2 linked regions of the Tamandua tetradactyla genome follow. The protein of the gene in region 2 purifies or fractionates together with the protein of the main gene of each other region. This does not show direct contact. Links are inferred from orthologs where the notes say so. Each region holds a gene or a part of one and is shown on either strand. Other genes may lie near its edges.

Region 1 (7,556 bases), on a different chromosome or scaffold from region 2:
ATAATCTGGTCACTGTTTATCTCTCCAAGGTACCACTCCCCCCCTAGTTTTCCGTATTTTATAGATGAAGAAACTGAAGTACAGTTTAAGCAACTTGTCCCTTCATACTACTGTTGACTGATAGGGCCAAAATTTGAACCCAGTTTCGATCCAGAATCTGCCCTTATCCACCCAGCTATTCTTTTCAGTATTATCAACAAAAAGATTACAATTAGAAACATCTAACTTAAACAAAAAGCAACTAACATACATATGTGACTCTGAAACATATACCACAGATTGGTGCACACTATTAGTACTAACCTATCCTGTTTAACAACAGCCAAAAAAGCAGCATATAAGTAACAGTGGCAGAGATGTATTTCTTTTGTAGCAGCCTACAAAAGGGATCTAGCAAATGACAGAAACTAGACAGTCAATGGCCAGAATTATCCACCAAGATACAGCTGAGCTAGTTGTTTTGTTTTTAAACAGGGTGTTTTTTGGGAGAGAGGCAGAGGACGAACAATTGCTGTCAGACAGACGTCTATAAATAAAGTGCTCAAATTTGAGAGCCAAAAAGTTTCAAATTGTATGTCAAAATAAATGTAATGGAAATGCATGACAGTTCTAAAAGATTTAACAGGTGTTAACCACATTTACCCATCAACTTTCTTCAAATATCAAAGTTGGTAATTTTGGGGAAGCAAGGCTTAAGTTTATGGCTAAAGAACACAGGCAATATTGTGAAAGAATCCTGAAGGGAGCGATGAGTGATACTTCTTTAGGAAGTAAGATCCTTTGTAATACCTGGGCTAAAAGGATGATTTCTGTATGTTATTAACATTAAAGAAAAAAGTAGCTAGTAAGAAATAATTAACTTCATAAAGAAACTACATTTTAATTGAGAGATTTGAATACATCTACTTATGAAATACTAATAATTACACTAATTTTTTTTAACAGTCAGGAAACCAGAAACCACACTAGGTATCCATTCAGTCCTTTATCATTTTCAAGGCACTATGATTAAAGAATATTTTGTCTTCAACAACAAGCCTCAAGCCAGGCAAGCAGTACAGTGAACTTTGGAAACAGCCTTGAGTTCCAGTGCTTGGGTCCTAGCTATTAGCTGTGGTTGCTTGAGAAAGGTACCCTCTTTGAACTCCAATTTTCTTGTTTGTGCCACATATCTGACAGGTTTGTTAAGGGTTAAACAAGATCAAATATATGCGAAAACATCTTGAAAACTGTAAAGTTCTACAAAACATAAGATATTAAAAGGCAAAGGAGGTCTTAATTCCATTTTATAATTTAATACATTAAACCATATCTACTATGTACTGTTGATACAAGAAAAGATCCTACCTAAGGAATTAAGCATAAAGTGGGAAACAAACTAGTAAGCAAATTAAATACAAAATAAGGTGTTCTGAAAGGAGCACAGTATAGCACTCGATTAACAGGGAACCCAGGAATGGAAATATTAAATGACTTTCTCAAGGACAACTGTTTAACAAGTGGATGTGCAGCAGCTAAACCTAAGTCTTCTGACATCAAATCTAGAGCATCATCCACTTTCAAAATGTATTAACTGAACTATACGCTAATTTCAGATTCCTGCATTGTCAATAAATTTTGCCTGCTCATGTAATAGGTTAGAAGTTCTTTCTTAAACCAGTCATAACTCACCACAATAAAAGCAGGAAGTCCATCTTTTCCAAATTAAAGCTTACTGCATAACAACAACACCACTGATAATTTTAATTTAGCTCTTACCAGTTGTGTTTTCTGAATGCTAGATTTTAGTATATGAATACTACACAAAACAAACTTTTTCGCTGTAGTTGAGGTATCATCAAGATTGCAAACGTTACTGTGGATCAGGCAGCCAAAACTTTTGACAATCACGATTGTGTCTTGGCAAAAAAAGAACTGAGAACAAGCACCAAAGTTATGTATAAGTAATGCCCAAACTTCTGAAAAACAATTTTTTTTCTTGAATAACAATTCAGTCGGGAAAAAATGTCAAGATTTCTGTTACACATTTTCTCCAAGAAACAATGTTTCCTGTTAAATGAAAATTAAAACAGCATAAGTTAATTGAAGGGATGTAAGGCTGAGTAAGTATTTAACCCTCAAGTACTCCTATCTTATGCTTTTATATTCCCACAGTGTGTAATTCTACAGTTCTAGTCGTATCATCGCCAAAATGTGGTAAACTGACACTAAGAGTAACAGACCTCAGTAATAGGATTTAGTTTCAATTCAAGGGATAACGCCTGCTACAGAAACATACAACTAGAGCGATAGGGTAATTAAACTTCGATTTTTAAAAACAAATTATCAAATGAATAAACTATTCTCGGACCTTCGTTACCTCAGGTCATTTCCACACGGTGGCCGTTCTCACTGATTCGATCTGGACACTTCTGCCTTCATCAAGAGGCAGGAAAAATTTTGGTAGTATTACTGGGGAGGAAGGAAAAAGGGATGGAATTCTCAGGCCCGGAAAAAAACAAAGCACTCAGCGTCCTGGAGCTGGGAGGTGTCAGAGCGTCCTCTCCAAGCCGCCCCACCTTAAGTCATCCTCACTTTAAACCCACTGAAGAGGGTGTACTGTTTAACTTGTCATCACCAGATTTCCTCGCACGTACAGTGATGCCTCTGGAATCTGAAAGACCGACACCGAGCCGGCAAGGAGGCTTGCTACACATCCGGGGGACGGTGGCGGTGTCCAAATACTTCCCGCGCACGGACGGGAAAGGGAGGGGGTGTTAGCCCGGGGCCTACCCTCTTTCGACCACCCAGGTCACAGGACACAAACCAAAGTGAGTTCTTGGAGAAACCGAGCTGGGGCACCAGTCACCTGAGGAATGTGTCCGAATTCCGTACTGGGGTCCCGCGCCGCGATCTGTAACCGGGTAGATGAAACCTGTTCCACCCGCACCAGCCACCGATCCGCACCAACCACCGATCCGCCTCAGCGTGCGCTTTGCTCGACCCCACCGCGCATGCGGAACCACCTCGTACCACGCAAGCGCTAACAGAGTAGAGGCCCTACATCACTGATCATAGAGTCGAGGTCCTCCGAGAACTAGGAAGAATGAGGGTCACAGCAGGATTTGAATAGTATTCGTTCTCGTTATCTTTATTGTTCCCTGAGAAATCTTTAAGGCGCGCGCGAGAGGTAGGACTGTGACTCCTTGTCCCTGAAGAATGAATCCTTTATCAAAGTTTTCGTCAACCACGTGGTGGCGCTGTGGACAAAGACGGAAAGTGGAAGAAGACAAGGAGTGTTCTCTTCCCTTTAGGCCGGCGCACGCAGCGCCAGGCGCAGCCATCGGACTACAGGCGAACCGGAATCCAGTGACAGTTCGCGGAGCCAGAGCTTCAACATCCGGGCATTACCTCCTTCCCAGCCCTCCTCCTCCTATGCCGACAGGAAGCGGAAGTGAAGAGTGCATATCCCGCTGCCTCTTAGCAACGGGAGGGGTTTCGTGACCCAACCCCCTGACTCCGGTAGTGGCGTGCGAGGACTGGAACTATTGCAGCCACGATTGCCCGGCGGGGACCAGAGCCGTACAGTCATCGTCAGAATGTCGGGCAAAGACCGAATTGAGATCTTTCCCTCGCGAATGTAAGTAAGAGAATGTGTCGCGTGACACCCGTAGGTTCAGGAACGCCTGCCCGGAATGCGGTACCTCCATATTCTGAACCAGCAGCTAGGTACCTTGTTTCTTGAGTCCCTCTTGAACTGCCCTCAGCTTCTTACTTCGTGGTCTGTGGTGAACGCTCCCGAAGAGCGCCCACACCCAGTCCTCTTGAATGTTACAGATCGGACAGAATGATTCAGGTTATAGGAACAGGCGCCCTGACTTTTGTGAAAAGTCACCCATTTCACGAAACATTGCTATGTGCCAGGCCCTGAGACGGGCATTGGATTTATATGACTGAATCTTCGCATTCCTGTCCTCACAGAGCTTACAGTTTAGTGGTGAGGAAGACAAACAAATGAGATTTGGTAAATTATCTGAAAAGGGAAGTTTACTGGAGTGGAGAAGGGGCATGTAAACCAAATTAGCGATAGAATCGAATCACTCTTGTATGGACGTCAGAGATCTTGAATCGTCCTATTCATTTTCCAAAACTCCACCTGCCCTGAAAAGACATCCTGTGTTTCTGAGGCACGCCATCACCACTACACCTTGTTCAGACCTCCGTTGCCTGATGAAGTGATATTTGTTTACATACATTTCTCTCCCGCTAGAATGTTAGCACTCCAGGTTGAAAGTGTCTTCAATATTTACACATTTAGAAAGTACACAAAAAATGTTGCTTGAACAAATTTTTGCCTTGGAGTCTGCTTAGCCGTAGGATACGATTTCTTTGGGTCCGAACTCTTTGGCAGAAGAAAGAACTGTACCCCAGGTTTTTGGCCAGTTTGAAAATTTTTCTCAAATCCCCTTAACAGATTGTGGAGTTGCAGAGAGTAAAAATGTTCTTATTTGTGTTGTCCTCCACCTTCTCTCCTTTTTTTCAGTGAGGAGGCAGAAAATCAGATTTGCCTCTGGCATTAGATTGTTTGATTGTCGTCCTACATAGAATCTGAGAATACAATTAAACAGTTATATTCAAACTCAAAGGCCCATCTCTGCTAGGTTGGCTACAGCTCTTAATAAAATGAATGCTTTCTTTACCTTCACCTGTTGGCTTTCTCTTAGCTGTATGTATTAGATAGAAGCAAACTAATTGTGTAGAAGGGCAATAGATGTGAAAATAGATAAGAATGTTAACATTTCTTGCTTTTATTTTGGAACTTTTACTTTGTTTGGGATTTAGAGGTGAGAAAAATGTGAAAGCAAAAATTGCAGTTTGAGAGTACTTGAGAGTAGGTAGCTTGCTGCCTGAGAGGAAAATCAGATGCAGGAAGTAATTCCTTCTCTAAATATTTTCCTATGGCCTGACAAAGGTGCTTTGTCATGGAATCATATGTCTTTGATTCATCTGGAAAGAAAGTCATCATCCTGAAGGTCAAATATTTTTTGTAGGGGTAAGTAGCTCTGAAACTTGTAAAAGAAAAAATTTTTAAGACCTGGGCTAGAACATATACTGATGATTACTGTTATACAGACAGTTCAAATACTGTAAGGATAAGACAAAATTATTTTGTTAAATGTTGCTTAGGCGCACTTATGCACAAGAGAAATCAAAACAAGTTTAGAGTAAAAGCAAAAGAGGCATGAAGGATTTGGAGTCAACAGAGGTCTGTCAAATCCAGGTTCTATTATTACATATTAGCTATAAGCCCCCTTGGGTTAAGAGTGTATGTCATTTTTAGAGTCTCAATAAATGAAATTTGTTCATGTCACAGAGATGCCGTTACCTAGGAGGAAATAAAAATCAGCGTGGAGAACTTAATCTATTCACCTTCATACTGTGAACTTCATGGAATCTTCAGTACTAGGGTTTGACTTAAATTTGATCCAGGTCTTTGAGCCCAAATTCTGGCATTTAGTGTAAACAATACGGTGTGTTTCATGTACACATTCCTGCTCATGCTGGAAGCTCAACCTGCTTTAGTTGGCTAGACTTCTGATGAGGACAGTCGGTGCAAAGTCAACTACTGATAGCTCTTTCAAACAGAGCTATCATCTGATGCTACTTGTAATCTTTACTGGGAGGCAGCATGTCGTATGGTTAGGTACTAGGTTTGTCCCTTACTTTGAGCCTTGGGCAGATCACTAGAGACAGAAATCTGTGATTCAAGTTCCTGCCCTGCTTTTTCTTCTCTGAGTAACTGTGGGAAAGTGCTCCACTTCTCTGAGCCTCATTTTCTTGATCTTTAATATAATATTTGAAGTCCCTTTCGGCTACAAAATTGTGACAGTAACTTTAACTCTATTGCAGAAGAATTTCAGTATAATCTGAGAATTTAGCCTCAAGGTATAATAATTGCTATTTTGCATTGATTAATACCACCAGTGATATGAAATTATGTCCCCTTTTACAAATCACTATAAGTGCCTTGGTCATCCAATCTGCTGTTAAATTTTATTGTATAAACATTTTTATTTCATCATTAAATTATATCTAGCATAGAATAGAAATGTCAATTTCTGCTGTTACTTTCTTGACTATGGTATTGGTTTCTGATGGGAAAATATTAAAATGAGTTTAGCAGACTTCAGTATAAGTTTAATTTGCCACTGCTCGGGAGTCATATATGCCATTTGTTACGTAGAGTCATTTACAGATTAATAAAATGATTAGTATTTGTGTTTTTTCAATATGAACTTTTTTATCACATAGTTGTATATTCATCATCATGAACATTTCTTAGAACATTTGCATCAATTCAGAAAAAGAAATAAAAAGAAAACAAAGAAAAATTCATGCATACCATACCCCTTGCCCCCTCCCTTTCATTGATCACTAGCATTTCAATCTACTAAATTTATTTTAACATTTGTTCCCCCTATTATTCATCTTTATTCCATATGTTTTACTCATATGTTGATAAGGTAGATAAAAGGAGCATCAGACACAAGGTTTTCACAATCATGTAGTCACATTGCGAAAGCTGTGTCATTATATAATCATCTTCAAGAAACATGGCTATTGGAACACAGCTCTACATTTTCAGGCAGTTCCCTCCAGCGTCTCTGTTAAGCCTTAACTAAAAAGGTGGTATCTATTTAATGTGTAGGAATAAACTCCAGGATAACCTCTTAACTCTGTTTGGAATCTCTCAGCCATTGACACTTTATTTTGTCTCATTTCTCAATTCCCCCTTTCAGCGGAGAATGTTTTCTCAATCCCTTGGTGCTGAGTCCCAGCTCATTCTAGGATTTCTGTCCCACATTGCCAGGAAAGTCCACGCTCCTGGGAGTCATGTCCCATGTAGAGAGGGAGGGCTGTGAGTTTGCTTGTCATCTTGCCTGAGAGAGAGAAGCCACATCTGAGCAACAAAAGAGGTTCTCTTGAGGGAGAAAGAGAAAGGTCTAATTTTAAGTAGGCTCAGCCTGTCCTTTGCAAGGGTTAAGTTTCACATGAACAAACCCCAAGATTGGGGGCTCAGCCTATTGCTTTGATTGTCCCCACTGCTTATGAGAATATCAAGAATTCTCCGCTTGGGGAAATTGAATTTTCCCCCTTTCTCACCATTCCCACAAGGAGACTTTGCAAATACCTTTTTATTCACTGTTCAAATCTTTCTGGGATTTACTGAGGCATCACTCTAGACAAACCTACAGAATCTCATGCCCTATTCAAGATTCCATGTACTTACTGTGTTCAGTTAAACTGACCATACAAGTTAAATTAGGAAATGCACTACCCAACATATAAACTTGGCATCAAATAAACATCATCTCTCCCTTTAGTCTCACACAGAAGTTGAAGTTTTAAAATATGGATGATATCATCCTTTACCCAGTCTTCTGATATACTTTAGTCCTATGCAGATAAGCTTCATTCATATCTCTGTTTGATGGCTGATCACTTTTTCAATTTTTTAAACAGTTACTGTATGGGATACTATTGACTTTCATAGCTTCAGAGCTCTAACTCTAAAT
Region 2 (7,965 bases):
GGAATAAAACCCACATTCCGTCCCCTGCCTTACGGGGCCCGAGAGCAGTGGATCTCCCACCAGAGCTTGCCTGAGGCACCCCAGGAGGCTCCTTCAAACTCAGGTTCCCGGGCCTCACCCCCCAGAGGGGCTGATTCCATAAATCTAGGGTGGGCCCGAGAGCTTGTATTTCTAGCAAGTTCAGGGTGATAGTGAGGCTGCCGGTCTGGGCACCCCACTTTGAAAACCCGTTGCCCCTCCTACCTCTCTCCTCCCTGCCTTTGCCTGCTGTGTGAGGCCTTTAACTTTCTAATTCCCTCTGCTCCCAGATCTTAGGGCAGCGAGCTCCTTGTCATTTGGTTCTCAGCTCAAATGTCAGCACCTCCGACTGGACTTCCCTGGCCAGCGGTCAGTTGTACCCCCATCCCCCAGGCTTTGATCACAGCCCCGCCCTGTGACTTCTTCACAGCCCTTACTACAGGTGGAAATTATCATGTCTATTTATTCATTTTCTAACTTACTAGCCATCCTTGCCTCACCACCATCCTGAAAATAACAGAAATTTGTCTTATTTGGGTGGTGTGTCCCCTGGTCCCGGGCACATTGTAAGTGCTCAGGAAATAGTGAAGGAATGAACTACAGACTGTAAGCTTTATATCAATGTTCGAGTCCTTGAACTTGATAACGGCACTTAAAGTGGTTCCATAAAGGATAGCCTTCTTAGGAAATGTACGTGGCAATGTTAAGTGTTGAGGGTACATGATGTATACAACTTATTCTCAAGTGTTTAGAAAATAGATAGAAAGACATATACAGATGGATGGGATGACAGAGCAATTATAAGAAATGTGGCAAAATGTTAAAGTTGGTAAATCTCGAGAGGAGATAAAGGAGTATATCGGAGTTCAAATAGGTTTTTGTAACTGTCCTGTAAGCTTGAAATTATTTCAAAATAACAAGTCTTTTTTTTTAATTAGTCATTGAATAAATGAATGACAGAATAAGGGGGAAGGCAGTGACAGCAACAAAAGAAATATATTTTGGTGCTTGGAAGGAAAGAAACAGGGAACCATTTGTGGCACAGGCTGGAGACGGTCCAAGGGAACTTCCCCTTCCCCTGCTGACCCCCCACGCCCTCCCCACGCCCCTGCACCTGCTTATGAAGCCAGCCTCGGATGTGCACGGGGAGGTTGGGGTCCCTTCTCAGTGCATTGCCCCTCTTCCCAAAGGCGTGGACCTTGCTGACTGCCCGGGTGGGCTTCTGAGGACGGAAGGGGGATACAAGTGAGCAGGGCCCTGGCTGGACTCTTGAGAAACCAGGTCTTGAAACCAGAGTTGGATGTAGGTAAGGCAGGGTTGAGAAGCAAGGAAGAGGCTCCTGGCCACTGGGGAAGCAATTTGGGAGAGGATGCCCTTGGCCACCAAAACCAGAGATATAGTGGAGCCATTGGATCCCAACTGGAAATGGTGGCTGGGAGGTCCCCTTCATCAAGAGGAATGTCCCCATTCTGAGGCCCTGGGGATGGAGCTGCCTGGATCAAATGACACAGTTTCACAAGGCTCCCCAAGCCTCGGTGCTGGACAGTGATATTCCTTAGCGGCCGTGTCCAGGCTTGAGGGGGACTCCAGACCCCCCACCTCATGCTCAGAAGGGGCTGCTTATCCAGATTGCCACAAGGACACCCTTCTGGGAAATTGTGCCATAGACCAAATCTCTAGACTTTGAACTTGGAAACTGGAAACACATCAGGGGAACGGCAGGAGACCGAGGAAATGAGTGTTGTTGCTGAACCTCTGGCTGGGGTGACAATTTGGATGCCAGGCTCTCGGGCCTGCTGGGATTTTATGGCCAGGGAGGGATTCTTTCCTAACTGGGTAGATCCAAGGGCTACAAACAGGACAGGGAGTCCTCACCTTGGTCAAGAGTAGCCACCGATTCTGAGCTCCTGATGGGGGGGGGTCTCCTCCTTGCTGGGGAGTGGCTTTATCTTAGCAAGCAGGGCCAAGCAGGGTTGTTACTCTGGCTTAGAATTAGGAAACTATGAAGGGGTGGGGACAGAGGTGGGAGTGCCTCTGAATTCCTAGCCACAGCTGGTCAGCAATTTGGGACCATACCAGCCTGGCAGACCCTGCTGCTAAGTATCCTTTGTCCGCTGCAGTCAAGACTAGGAGTCTGGGATGGTGCAGAATCCCGGGCCAGGGAACAGGAGGAGGGGCATGCGGAGGAGATGATCCCAGAGCCCCACCCTCCTCCCCATCCCCGCCAGGAAGCTCTCGAACCTTGGTGCTCAGGTTGCTGAGCGAGGAGATGGTGGATGCACTGCTGGCGAGGCTGAGGCTGCTCCGAGGCCGGCCCTCCTCCATCGAGGGCTTGCCGAGAGAAAGAAAGGGACTGTGTCTCTGCAGCTGACCCGGCTGGGGACAGAGCCGGGAGTCAGGGGCCCGGAGGTCGGAGGAGGCTGAGGAGAAAGAGTCTGTTGTCTGGGGACCAGGGTGGGGGGGTGGGAGGCAGGGAGGGGAGGTCCTGGCTTGGGGAGCACATACCAAGAGCAAGGCCAAGAGAGGTGGGCGGCATTGGCAGCTGCTGGGGAGGGGGCAGCTGTTTGCAGCCAAGACAGAAAATAGGGGCTCCTTTCTTATTGCCCCCTTCCCTCCAGCCAGGAATTTGACCCTCTCTGGGTTTAGGAACTCCCACTGCCTTTCTAGCCACCCCAGGCTGCCTGTCTCCTGCCCTCCAGGTTCACCCCCAAACCATCTCTGCCAACACCCCAAGCCAAGCCCTGAGGCACAGCCCGGACAGCCCCTCCCAACCCAGCCAGGGAACTTACCCAGCTCTGGAGTTCTAACGACAGGGGGCAAGAGGGCAGTGTGGGTTCTGGGGTGCCCAAGAGGCTGGCTCTCTAGACACAGTCTCCCCACTCCTCTCTCTCTCTCTCTCTCTCTCTCTCTCTCTCTCTCTCTCTCTCTCTCTCTCTCTCTCCTCACCTGTTCACTCACCCTCTCTTTTTGTCTGTCTCTTAGAATCTCTCTCTCCCTCTCTTCCTCTTCCTCTCTCTCTTTCTTTTAAACTGTCTCTCTCTTCAGTCTCACCTACTCTCTCTCTCTCTCCCCAATCTCTGGCGCATCCAGTCTCTCCCTCACTCATTCTCTCCTCCCTGTATCACATTCCCTCCCAATCTTTTTGTTTCTCTCCCAATCTTTTTGTCTCCGATTCAGGGAGTCTCTTCAGTCACTCTCTTCCTGAAGTCTCTGTTTCGCTCTTTCTCTCCATGTGTGTCTTGCTGGGTCTCTCCCTCCTTCCCTCTTAGTCTCTTCCTCTTTCTTTTCTCTCTCTCAGTGACCCTCCACGTCTGCTGTTTCCACGCTCTCTGCAGATTCTCCTTCTCACTTTCTCTCTCCCTTCCTCTCCCAGTTTCTCTTTCCTCTCTGCTGGTCTCCCTTTCTCTCCCTCCCTCTGCCAGCCGCCCACGCCCGCTATCTTCCCTCCCAATCCCGGCTGTCCCCGCCCCTTCTGGCTTCCTCAGCCTGACCCCTGGCTCAGCTGTCCCCATGGCTGAGGGGAGGGGCTGTGGGCCCTGACTCCTGGGTCCCCTAAGGGCTGAGGGGGCTCTGAAATGTTTGGAGAGTAGGAGCTGGGGCCTGGACTCAGGGTCCCAGTGGGCCACCTGCAGTCAGGGGCCTGGGCCACTGGCGCCCTGAAAGGAGGGGCTTGCATCTTGCAGGGGGTAAGGAGCCTGGACTCCTAGAGCCTAGGAGGTATTGGACCCCTGGGTGCCCGAGAGAGTGCAGGTTAGGACTCAGGGTGTCTGGTTGTGAATAGAACCTCAGTCTGCAAGTGTGGCTTTGAGTGGATGGAGCTGGGGGCAGTTTGTCCAGGTGCCCCCCGGGGAGGAGGGGTTGGCCCGGACTCCTGGATTCTGCATCTAAGTGATCAAACCTGCATCTCAGATGCAGATGAGAATTCTGTCCTGGGTCGTGGGCGACACCCATCACCTTGGGTGTGACAGGTTTCGGACCAGGCAGGGGAACAGGCCTGGGGCACTGGAACTTATGGCAGAAGCCCCATCCCCCCACCCCCACCCCCACCCCCACCCCGAGGTTCAGCTGCTGCTATCGGGCCAGATGATTCCAGCTTTCAGGAGCAGAGCTTTGCCATAAATTTGAAGTGAGTGAAATCCTGAAGTGGAGCCTCCTGCGGGTCTATCTACTTTATTTGCAGAGCACCTACTATGTGCCAGCACTGCTGGGGCCACTGAGAAAAAAGTGGCGAGCAAGCCAAAATGCTTGTCTTCTTGCTGCTCCCACGGTTCTCATTTGGAATAAATCTGGATTCTACTTGTGACTTCATTCCCAAGCCTCAGTTTCCTCGTCTGTGCAATGGGAACGGGGATACCCGCTCACAGCCGGGAGGAAGCGGGCCGCCTATGGCGGTGGGAGACTGCAGACTGGTTAAACTGGGGTGGGATTGCGTCCGTCTGGAAAATCGGGAGCAGAGGTTGAGCTATAGAGCGCGCCGTTTACGCCTTTGATTGACAGCTCGCGTGGTTGGGGGCGTGGCCACGCTCGGAAATGCCGCGGTGACGTCACGAAGCTCGGGAGTCTCCGCAGGGTTCAGTTCTATTTTTGCCCTTTCCAACTCCCCGTCTTTACGTGTAGAAACCCCGCCTCCGCGCGTGACGTCAGCACGTCCGGCCGCGAAAACATATAAAGGCCTTGCGGCTGGGGCCATCAAAGGTTACCAGCCGAGTTGTTGATTTCATGCGCCATATCGTCCGACCCCGCGAGCCTCGTCGCCATTGCAGCTGCGGCAGCCGGAGATCCTTTGAACCCCGAGTCCGACGCCTCTGAGGGCGAAATGAAAGCGTCGGCTTCCCGAGCCGCCTGGACCTGCGATCGCTTCTGGCAGCCCGAGCCGGCGCTCCTGCCTCCTGGGTGATTCGCTGCCGGTGCGTGAGGGGTCGCAACGCCGGAGTCCCCAGGCAGCTGGGGACCCGGACTTAGGAAAAGAGGGAGGGTTGGGAGTCTGGGGTCCTGGACCTGAGTCGGCGGGGAGAACTTGGAGGTGAAGGAACCATCTGGGGGTCCGTGTTTGAGTCTCTGAGGAAGGAGGGCGGTGGTGGTTTGTCACCTTTTAAGAGAAGGCGAGGACTAGGGACTGGGGCTTTGTCCTCAGGGGAAGCAAGGGAAGGACCCTTTTCCTTGGCTCTGGGTCGGAAGGAAGAGGGGACGGAGTGGAGAAGGGGCTTGGACTCCTGGGTCTAAGGAACGAGAGAAACGGACAGCCAGACTCGTGGGGATGACGTGAGGAGAGAGAAGGGACCTAAGGGACATGGGAGTGGCCAGAATCACAAAGGAATTTATGGCAGGAATTCTTATGTTGCTAGTTGTTGTTACTGTTTCCGTGGCTGTGACTCACCCTCATGCCCTAATTCCATCCCCTAAATGGCTCCTAAACTTTATTCTGTTTTCTTTTCCCCCTCTTTTTTCCAGCCCAAAGGGATGGCTCCAAACCAAACAGCACGTCAGGCCATCCCCTGGAGGGATACTCACCCCTTCTTCTTCCTGTCCCCGTTGATGGGCCTCCTCAGCCGGGCCTGGAGTTGCCTGAGGGGCCCTGGGTCCCCAGAGCCCTGGCTGGTGGAAGCAGCAACAGGAGCTGACCAGGTGGAATCTGGCCTGGAGGGAAAAGCTAAGGCTTCTCTGGCCACCCACCTTGCCCCCTGGGACAGGCACCCTCAGGAGAAGACCGAAGATAGTGGTGCAGCTGAGGAGGCTGGAAAAGCAGACTGGAAGACCTGTCCTGGCCCACAAGCCACCAGTTCTCTTCTTGAAGCCTGGGGTTTTTCTGATGATGTTGAGGAAGAGTATAGCAAGGAAGAAGCAACCGATGTTGCCAGAAAGCAGAGAAGTACACTTGCCGAAGGTGGGCCTGCTCCCCCATCCCCCACGTTTCTGATGGGAACCCTGCAGTATCCTCCTGGGGAGGAGGACTCTGAGGAAGAGGAGGAAGTAGCTGAAGAAAAAGAAATAAGCAAGGCCTTTCTCTGTTCTCCATCACTAGACCCTACACCCTGGGAGTATTGTCTAGGGGTGGTGAAAAAGGAGGATGAGGATGGAAAAGCTATGAAGAAAGAAACTGCTGGGACCTCTACATCCCTCTTATCTTCGGCCTCCAAGCCCAGTGCTTGGGTATGTTGTCTACAGGAGGTAAAGAAGGAAGAAAAAGTTGAAAAGGATCAAGGCACTGAGGCAGGAAGAACAGAGAATAAAGAAGCTACAGAAACTTCCATTTCCTGTTCCTCTTCAAAGTCTAACTCCAGGGCCAGGGAGTATTGTTCAAGACAGGAATCTAAGGAGGAGAAGGATGAAAAGGTAAATGAAGCAGCTGAGAAAGAAGCTGCCAAGCCAGAGATGCACTCCTCTATGCCCATGCAGCGGTCCCTGCTAAGGGTGTGGGAGTATCAACCCAGTAGGAACACAGAGGAAGAAGATGGGAAGGATGAGTACAGTGCTTCAGGGGCAGCTAAGGCAGAGGGAACAGCTGAGGCTTCCTCTTGCAGCCCACCTACAAGTGTCTTCCTGAGGGCCTGGGTGTATCACCCAGAGGAGGACACAGAGGAGGAAGAAGAGGATGAAGACAGTGCTTCAAGGGCAGCTAAGGAAGAGGGAGCAGCTGAGGCTTCCTCTGACATCCCACCCACGAGTACCTTCCTAAAGGCCTGGGTGTATCACCCAGGAGAGGACACAGAGGAGGAAGAAGAGGATGAAGACAGTGCTTCAAGGGCAGCTGAGGAAGAGGGAGCAGCTGAGGCTTCCTCTGACATCCCACCCACGAGTACCTTCCTAAAGGCCTGGGTGTATCACCCAGGAGAGGACACAAAGGAGGAAGAAGATGAAGGAGAAGATGAAGATGAAGGAGAGGATGAGGACAGTGTTTCAGTATCAGATGAGGAAGAAGTAGTAGCTGAGGAAGAGGGAGCAGCTGAAGCTTCCTCTGATATCCCACCCATGAGTGCCTTCCTGAAGGCCTGGGTATATCACCCAGGAGAGGACACAGAGGAGGAAGATGAGGACAGTGATTCAGAAACAGCTGAGGAAGAGGGAGCAGCCAAGACTTCCCCTTCCAACCCATCCACAAGTGCCTTACTGAAGGCCTGGGTGTACCACCCAGGAGAAGACACAGAGGAGGAAGATGAGGGCAGTGATTCAGGAGCAGCTGAGGAAGAGGGAGCAGCTCAGGCTTCTTCCATCCCACCCAAGGGTGTCTTCCTGAGGTCCTGGGTGTATCACCCAGGAGAGGACACAGAGGAGGAGAATGAAGATAAAGGCGATGATTCAGAAGCAGCTGAGGGAAGAGAACAATCTGACTCAGAGCCGTGTCCCTCCTTTCAAGCCCAGACTACCTTCTTAAAGACCTGGATATGTCAACCTGGAGAGGACACTGAAGGAGAAGGAGCTGCTGAGGAATGGGGAGAGACTGAGCCCCACCCCTTCCAAGTGGCCATCTATTTGCCTGGAGAAAAGCCACCACCTCCCTGGGCTCCTCCTAGGCTGCCCCTCCGACTACAAAGGCGGCTCAAGTCCTCAGAACCCCCCATCCGAGATCCAGACCCTGAGAGTCCTCTAAAGGCCAGAAAGGTGGGTGCTAGGGGCCCAGGTTCTTGAGTCTTAGTTAAGAGGGGGCAGGGAGCTGAAACTCCTGGGTCTGGGGGGAAGAGAGGCTGTTGGCTGGGACTCCTGGGCCCCAAGTGTGTTGCATGCGGTTGCATGTGAACTCTGTCGGGAGGACTGTGTGAGCCCTAATGCAATCCTTTGCAAGAGGCTGGGCCCCTGAGGTACCTGTGGGAGGAGGCAGCAGCTGTGGCTCATGACAGCCCCAGGAAACCACCCCTGTCTTCCGTTGATTCAGATGGGAAATCCCATGGCAGGCGCGTTGCTAGCCTGATAGCAAGCTTCATTCCATAACTGGTTTTCTTCTTTCTCTGT

The links.
Region 1: the proteins of PPP1R15A (region 2) and EIF2S1 purify together in Homo sapiens (affinity purification with western blotting; 4 studies listed by BioGRID and IntAct, with this or other methods). This does not show direct contact. The link is inferred for Tamandua tetradactyla from reciprocal best matches to the Homo sapiens genes PPP1R15A and EIF2S1.

The regions. Positions count from the first base shown.
Region 1 is NC_135338.1:24,873,402-24,880,957, reverse strand, and holds the start of EIF2S1 (eukaryotic translation initiation factor 2 subunit 1), read right to left. Parts: upstream 3,019-7,556; 5' UTR 2,849-3,018; intron 2,452-2,848; 5' UTR 2,360-2,451; exon of another isoform or gene 2,351-2,359; intron 1-2,350. Other genes in the region: ATP6V1D (V-type proton ATPase subunit D), read left to right, coding at 3,579-3,619. UniProt on the Homo sapiens protein: Member of the eIF2 complex that functions in the early steps of protein synthesis by forming a ternary complex with GTP and initiator tRNA. This complex binds to a 40S ribosomal subunit, followed by mRNA binding to form a 43S pre-initiation complex (43S PIC).
Region 2 is NC_135342.1:12,180,816-12,188,780, reverse strand, and holds the start of PPP1R15A (protein phosphatase 1 regulatory subunit 15A), read left to right. Parts: upstream 1-4,947; 5' UTR 4,948-5,421; coding exon 5,422-7,617; intron 7,618-7,965. Other genes in the region: PLEKHA4 (pleckstrin homology domain-containing family A member 4), read right to left, coding at 1,133-1,240, 2,260-2,343. UniProt on the Homo sapiens protein: Recruits the serine/threonine-protein phosphatase PPP1CA to prevents excessive phosphorylation of the translation initiation factor eIF-2A/EIF2S1, thereby reversing the shut-off of protein synthesis initiated by stress-inducible kinases and facilitating recovery of cells from stress.